Xenopus tropicalis: one gene and its partner. The protein of the gene in region 1 purifies or fractionates together with the protein of each later gene. This does not show direct contact. Links are inferred from orthologs where the notes say so. Each region holds a gene or a part of one and is shown in the gene's direction. Other genes may lie near its edges.

Evidence for each region.
Region 2: the proteins of sytl4 (region 1) and rab3a purify together in Homo sapiens (affinity purification with mass spectrometry; 3 studies listed by BioGRID and IntAct, counting the BioPlex papers as one, with this or other methods). This does not show direct contact. The link is inferred for Xenopus tropicalis from reciprocal best matches to the Homo sapiens genes SYTL4 and RAB3A.

Annotation. Positions count from the first base shown.
Region 1 is NC_030684.2:64,656,702-64,660,647, reverse strand, and holds the start of sytl4 (synaptotagmin-like protein 4), read left to right. Parts: upstream 1-1,146; 5' UTR 1,147-1,354; intron 1,355-3,946. UniProt on the Homo sapiens protein: Modulates exocytosis of dense-core granules and secretion of hormones in the pancreas and the pituitary. Interacts with vesicles containing negatively charged phospholipids in a Ca(2+)-independent manner.
Region 2 is NC_030677.2:103,862,669-103,866,607, forward strand, and holds the start of rab3a (ras-related protein Rab-3A), read left to right. Parts: upstream 1-1,139; 5' UTR 1,140-1,182; intron 1,183-3,939. UniProt on the Homo sapiens protein: The small GTPases Rab are key regulators of intracellular membrane trafficking, from the formation of transport vesicles to their fusion with membranes.

The DNA of each region.
Region 1 (3,946 bases):
ACTTTAGTGCTTTCCATAGTTGGTTGTGCACAGATTACCTGGAAGTCAGAAGGACACTTCACAATAGAACAAGGTGAAGGAGCAGGTACCTGCAGCACAGACACACAAATTCCTTTCAATCTATGGAATCAGATATGTCTGTATCTGTAGTAAGTCAAATCAACTGGACTTGCTGTGTTTTTTTTTCTTGAAGACGTTTCGCCAGTCATCCAACTGGCTTTCACAATTCAGAAATTACTACAGATATACCATGACCTGGATGACCTGAGCATCTTTACAAACGGATATGTCTGTGTTAAAAAAAACCTTATTTTTGGAAATTTGTTTATGCATTTTTTCTGCACAAGCCCAACTATATGAGCTCATGTTCAATTAAATGTCATCATCGTACACATAAAGAACCAGTTTTGTAAGGGCCATGGCCCATGGGTAGATTTGTTTCCCACAGTAAAACTACTCTCCCTGATACGCCTTCCAACTGGCAATTAAGTGAATCGCTGGTGGGAAAGTACAAGCAGGGGAAAACGTTGAGTGACTTTGGAAAACAAAGCAACATCTTCCCACTGGTGATTCAGTTTATTGCCAGTGGGAAGGTGTTTTTTGAAGATTATTCGCCCTTGGTAGCACAGATTTAACAGCAGGAGACTAGTGTCCCAGTGGGCCATGGCCCTAACTTGTGTGCCTACTAAATGACGTGTGCATACAAAACGCTTTGTGTGGGAACTTGTGACAGTTCTGACACCAGCTTAGTTCCACCAGTTTAGAGGGAACACTACAGAACAGTTTTATAATACTGCTATTAGTTATGGTAATAACATGTTTATACAACGATTATAGTTGAGATTTGAACAAGAAGTAAACGCATGAAATCAGTGTAAAATCTGTGCAATGGGACACACTCTGGGGTGATGTTAAAACCGATCCACTGGAAGGAGAAGCACTGCATAAACTACCTGCACGCTGCCGGCATCCTTCCAATCTGCCATCATGGCAGAAACCTATATTTCTTCTAAAATAGCTGGGCACACTCAGTCCTACTGCGGTTACTTAGATGATAAAGATTTGTTATTATTCCTGTCAAATCCTTTCCTATCCCGCATTTCCATTCAGTACATTGATCTTCCTGTGCGCACCCTCTTTCCCCTCCCACACGGCTGTGACTCCTTTGCAGGTGCGGTCACTTTAAGAATTGTGTGCCTCTCCCCTCCAGTCCCAGGCAGCAGCTGGGAAACTTTCAGCTCATTCCCTTTCTCGGTCTAGCGCTCTGCTTTTCCGCATTGTGTGGCGAGCAACCTTGTTACCGAGCTCTCCCGCCGCAGCCATAGCCCAGCCGTGGAGCTTCCTGTGAGCGCAGGTAAGAGCCATACTCAGCAACTGTGCGCACCACAAACCGGATCTGGGAAAGTTCCTTCCAGGCTGGCCGGCCAGTAGGCACTCACCTCTCCCTTGTATTTTCTATGGTGGGAATTACAGGTCCTTGTTCTACTTCAAACGCCCGTACGCCATTGCCCTAAGGGCAAGGCTTATAATAAAATGCACAATAGGAGGCTGAACAGGGCATTCATCCTTCAGGGCTGCAAGCAGCACAACTATGGGGTACCCAGTCTTTAGTGGGCTCTTAAAACAAATATTTGGTACTGTGGGTATAGCATACATGGTTCAGAATCTTACACTTCTATGGCGACCCCAGTGGGGAAAAAAGGATTTGGATGGTGGCCCTACAGCTAGATTCTCTACAGCCCTCTATAGAGAGGTGTAACTTGATCTTCTCAGGCCCCCTTAATGGACAGTGGATATTCCTGGCATATTCCATAAATCTGAAGAGTTCTCACCTATGTCTTTAGGTGGTAGCGATCCTACTGGCATTTCGGAGACCTTTTTTTTCTATGTTACTGTGTTTCATGTGAAGAGGAACTAGATTTAAGATATTCCAGGAATGGGTCATGATCAACCGAAAGACATGGGCTTAGTTGACATCTCTGAGCATGTCTCTTTAAAGTGCTGTATTGGCATTTGTTGCAGTCTTCTGATTGTTGTTGCAAACATTAGTATATCAATGGGGATCCAGCGATTCTGTTTGTAACAGATGCCAGTGTTTAAAGCAACATTACCATTTATCCTGGCACTGTATAGTGACAAGTAAGAGGGGCCTGGATGAGTTTTTGAACAAGCAGAATATCCAGGGCTATTGTGATACTAATATCTACAGTTAGTATTACTGGTTGTATATATAGTTTATGTATGTGAGTGTATAGATTGGTTAGTATAGGTTGTGTGCTGGGTTTACTCGGATGGGTTGAACTTGATGGACAATGGTCTTTTTTCAACCCTATGTAACTATGTAACTACTATCCTTTAATTTGCCATGGAACGCAAATCTCTGAGCTCTGTTTTTCTTAAACCGCATTAAAGAGGTTACATTCAATTTCCTTAATACTTTGCTTAGTTTGGCAATCTCAAAAATGTTTGTAACAATGTCACATAGTGCCCTGGCATTGCAGCAGAAGGGGCTTGGTTTTATAAAATGATTTTAAAATAATAATTTTGGCAATCAAACTTAACATGAGCAGGGAATGATTTGGGCAAGGAAGGTTTTTGAAAAGAGCAGGTTATGATCTGGGCAAGAAAAACTATTGACCTAAGCAGGGATGTTCAACCTGTAGACCTCTGGCAATTTAACCAGTCTGTGGGTTTTAAGTTCAGTTTAGAAACAGATGGAGTACTTGTCATCTCTGACATACAGATACACATTCATTAGCAGTGGGAACATATTGTGGAACTACTGTTTGTTTCCTAGAGCCAATATAAATATCTGTACCCAGCCCTATAGACGTCTGTGCAGTGCCAATATTTGTGTAACACAGTATGCATGGCTGAATGGTAAGGCTTGCTCAGTGTTTACCTCTGGCTTCTGTGATTGAGGAGCATTTTAGCTGCTGTCTTTTTTTTTTTTTTTTTTATACTGACACATTTCTTTTTCAAGTCCCATGTAAAGGGAAATGTAATGTAAAAACAGTTTTTTCTTAATAAAATTGAATTATAAGCAACTTTCCAATATAAATTCATTAAAAAATATTGGTTTTAAAATGAATGGTAGATGTAATTGCTTTTGAAATCAGTACCTGTCTAGCTGTTTATATTCTTTGCAGTTTTGGTTCTGTCTCCTAAATCAATCAAGCAGAGGCCAGCTGATTAATAGACCTGGAAGAAAACTGATGTTCACTATATTGTTTCTGGAATCAGAACCAGACAACAGAAAGGAAACATAAATACTTCTTTCAGCAGATATTAACTTTACAAACAATGTTAAAACCATTGACATTTTTTATAAATGTATATTGGAAAGTTGCTGTATTTAGTGCCCCCCCAGTTTGCAAACTGCGCATGATGTTACATCTGACCATGATGCATTACATTGGGTCAGGTACCCCAGATTTGCACAGCAAGTCTCCAGTGGTAACTGGGGAGGTTTTATTTTTCCTAAAAAATAATACAAAAAAATCTCTTGGGCACCTGAGTGCCTATATATAAATACAGCTCCGTGCTTAGAATTACATTGTCTTTTTAGCATGCAAATATAGTTATTAGGTGGAGATAGATCTCCTTTATATTCTCTGTACTGAAACATTTTGACCTTGTGGTTTATTGTAAGCTAAGGTAAAATCAATATGTCAGTTTTTAAATGCAAGTTTGTTAATACAGTGCACAGCCTTTCCATCTACTCTCACAGCTGGTTCATTATAAAGCATGGCAATTAACTGGTAGTCTGATTGTAGGGGAAGTTAACCTTTTAATTCTGCAGGGTGACAAATAAGATACTATCTGGGCTGGTGACCCCAATAACCCAAACATTGCATTGCACAAAAGGCTGAAACACTCTAATTTTTTTTATGTATCTGAGCACTTTTTAGTAGTCATTTTAACATTAAACCAAGTGACTGATTAC
Region 2 (3,939 bases), on another chromosome or scaffold:
AAAAATGTTAAAAAGTTGAAGTGGTGCTCAAATCTGTATATATATTGCAACAACATTGAACTGTAACAGATGGCACTCAAATCCAGCAAATGTGCTAAATAACTTGTTTATTGAGATCTCTGCACACTCAATAAACAAGAAAGTTATTTAGCACATTTGCTGGTAAAGGCCAGGCTGGATAATATTCTTATTTTGGAGAAACTTACGAGCTGGAAAACCGACACCAAAAACAGTTTAATAAAGTTTGGATTCCGTGGATGGTATATAGAAACATTTCACACTGATTTCCCTCCTCCTATTCTGAATTTACCGTCAGATAATTTCCCCTTGCTCTACCTTAGCCAAGAACAATGTTTGAAAAAAATAACAGCATCCCAGGACATCCAAGAGCTACAATTTTATTATATGTTATCGACTGTTTATTCAAACTTCAATGTCATGTTTTGATCAGGGTTCCCACCTGGCCAGTACTGTACCGTCCTGACCAGTAAAAAAGATGCTTAATGCCACTGTTGAAATATAAAAATATAGGAAGGCCGGTATTTCTTTCCAGAAAAGGAGTCAACCCTAGTTTTGATTCAGGAATAACATGGTGTATTAAAAACTATTTGGTGCTAATGCAAGCTGGGATCTGGCAAAGAACACAACTCAACAAAGCGCCTTTTTTAGAAGCCATGACTCTTTAATATGTGAGGTAATGTGGTAATGATGTACTTTATTACAAATCTAGCGCATTTTTAAATATATATATATATATATATATATATATGGTAATATTTGCCCTTAAGGCTTGTTTTTCACATTATTAATATCCTATATCTAATCACCATCTTGGCAAAAGTCGCCCTTTCTCGCCCTCCATCGTAAATAATTTATATACTGCCATGTCGCAGTGGACACATATAGAACAAGCGCTATTAGAATGGGAAACATTTCCCGGTCACCAAGTCAACTAATCCCACCCCTCCATGCGTCACAGGAGCGGCGATTTATCAGTGGTCGGTGGTATTCACCTATCCGAACCTTTTATTTTGCCACAGAAGGGCGGACTTGCTGCGCAGACGCCACGCCCACCACCAATTCGCAGCTGTCAATCAGGAAACGTCGTCTTGTGCTGTGCAGGTGCAGGGAGAGAGCTGCTGCATTGGTGCAATAGGAGCTGAGCCGAACCCGGAGAGAAAGGTAAGCAAAATGGCTTATGGATAAATCTGTAGGCTTTCAGGGATGGAAAAGAACCCACTGAGGGAATGAATGACTGATGGTTATCTAATTGGTTGCTAGGCTATGGCTGCTAGGGAATTGTGCAAGATGTAACCTTCATTTGTCATGGGCAAAGATGCTCAGTGCATCTCCTCATCAGCCAGAAATATGGAGAACGCGGAGTCATTATCCACTTACCTAATATCACTTGTGTATTTCCATGGAAAATACTAGAAACGGCAGTCTGCACTATTTGGGTTTGGGGCTGTGAGCAGAGCTGAATGAAATCCCCCCCCCAGTTCCTTTCTTTCCTTTACGATTTATTTGCTATGAAGGGTGATGGGGGAGGGAAGTGCTGGATCCCTGATGTGCAGCCACACAACCATTCTTTCTGCATACAGCTCCCTATGCTATGCATTAACTGCCTCATCCCATACACACGCACAATATATATATATATATATATATATATATATATATATATAATTATTACACACACTCACAATTTGTAAAAGCTCTTAGTCTTGCTGAAATACAGGCTTGTTTTGCCTTAATGCAGAAGGCTAGAGGATTGCAGTAATTAGAACTGGGTGTAGCTGTAATTGAAGAGCTATTTAAAAGATCACATTGCATTTTAAAGAAGGGGTTGCGTTTTGTAATAGATTTATAGGGGGATGGAAGGGCATATGTTATGTTCTGTGTGATTTCAGTGATGAGGAATATCCTGCTATCACATATACGAATGGCTATTTTCAAACACGAGAGTTTAAAATATCAACCTTGAATAATTTATGGGGGTATCTGAATAGGGTATCTGCATTTTTTTTCTGGATTGTGATACAAATCTGCAGTCAAATGCATCAAATCTATAGCTGTCAGTTTGCAAAGTGATTGATGTCTAAGGTTATTCAAATGTCTTTTTTTCCACTTCTTTTACAAGCAGGATATGCCAGAAATACAATGCAGAGCACACTCAATAAATTTAAACATGTTTGCTTCATACAAAAGTCATTCCCTTATCTATACATATGTTTACTGTTAAAACATTCAGTATATGCTATTAATGATACTAAGATTGAGCAAATATGAAATACTCCAAATTATTGAAACAGTGGTGTATCTTTAGATTGGAACTAATAATTCTTTTTCATCTGATTGACCATTGTTGAGGTTTGTCACCCCAAAACATCAACCACCATATATAAGTCTATAATTAAAAGCTCAACCTCCTCATCAGCATAAGAGCAGGTTTTTTTCAGCTGCCTCTTCAGCATAAAAGGTTGATGAAAAGGGGTCAGTAGATATTACATACATATCCAAATACCATACATATACAGGTATGGGATCCCTTATCCAGAAACCCGTTATCCAGAAAGTTCTGAATTACGGAAAGGCCAGCTCCCATAGACTCCAGTATAAGCAAATAATTCTAATTTTTAAAAATGATTTCCTTTTTCTCTGTAATAATACAACAGTACCTTTTACTTGATCCCAACTAACATACAATTAATCCTTATTGGAGGCAAAACAAGCCTATTGGGTTTATTTAATATTTAATTGATTTTTAGCAGACTTAAGTTATGAGGATCCAAATTACGGAAAGATCCCTTATCTGGAAAACCCCAGGTCCCAAGCATTCTGGATAACAGGTCCTATACCTGTACTAGATTTCCAAATAAAGTAAACTGTTATAGAAAAAAAAGATATTCATTCTAATGGAAGACTTGCAAACTCATTAGGCATCCGCAGTAAATTAGTCTGATCAACTAGCATAGAATAATCATTCAGAAGAGCTTTTTATGCAGTATGGCCTAAAGTGCCCTGCGATTCTTGTGCTTGTGCTGTAAAAAAACCTAATACGTCTGTACTGTGTTGTTGTCTAAGTGGTACCAGTGGTCGAACTACTAGAGGGGGGAAGGGGGTTACGACTCCACCAGAGACTGCCTGCCAGTGGTGCCTCCCTAGGGGATGCCACTAATGATATTGCTATTTTATGCTGCTTTAAACCATGCCATGGGTAAGGAAAATGGGGGTGGTGCAACAGGGAAACTAGCTGAGATTGTATACCCAGGCCTGTAGGGCTTACGTTATGTTACTAGGTGGTAATTGATAGTAACAGTAATGCAGGTAATCAGATAAAGACTCAACCTGAAAAATTATTAAGAGAGTTTATTTAGTCTTCATTGACTGACTTTCTTCATTGCTTAAACCTTAAAGGAAAAGTTACATTGAATCTATTCTACCCTACTCCAATAATTGCCCTATTCTTCTCAGTGTTTATTATTTTAAATGCTTTGTTAGAAAATACCTTATAAAATGTTACATCCGGTCATTTCATATACGGCGATCCAGAAGATGCAGAATCCACTATGCGACGATCGACATCTCCTCCTAGCCTTCCTTCTGTACAGGAAGGAGTCGGGCTAGGAGGAGATGACGATCATCGCATAGTGGATTCTGGATCGCTGTATTTGAAATGACTGGATGCAAATAAAGCAATAAACACTGGGAAGGATAGGGCAATTATTGGAGTAGGGTAGAATAGATTTTTTTACTAAAATTTTAGTGTTACTTTTCCTTTAACTGTCCTAATCTCATGGGGAGAGCTTGGAAAGCAATCTTTGCCACCAACAGGCATATTATTAACATTCTTTCTGACCAAATAAGAGCTTGTTTAATTTCAGGTATTCAAAATATATTAAGAAAATTCAAAGTAATAGTTTTATATGACCCAAAACA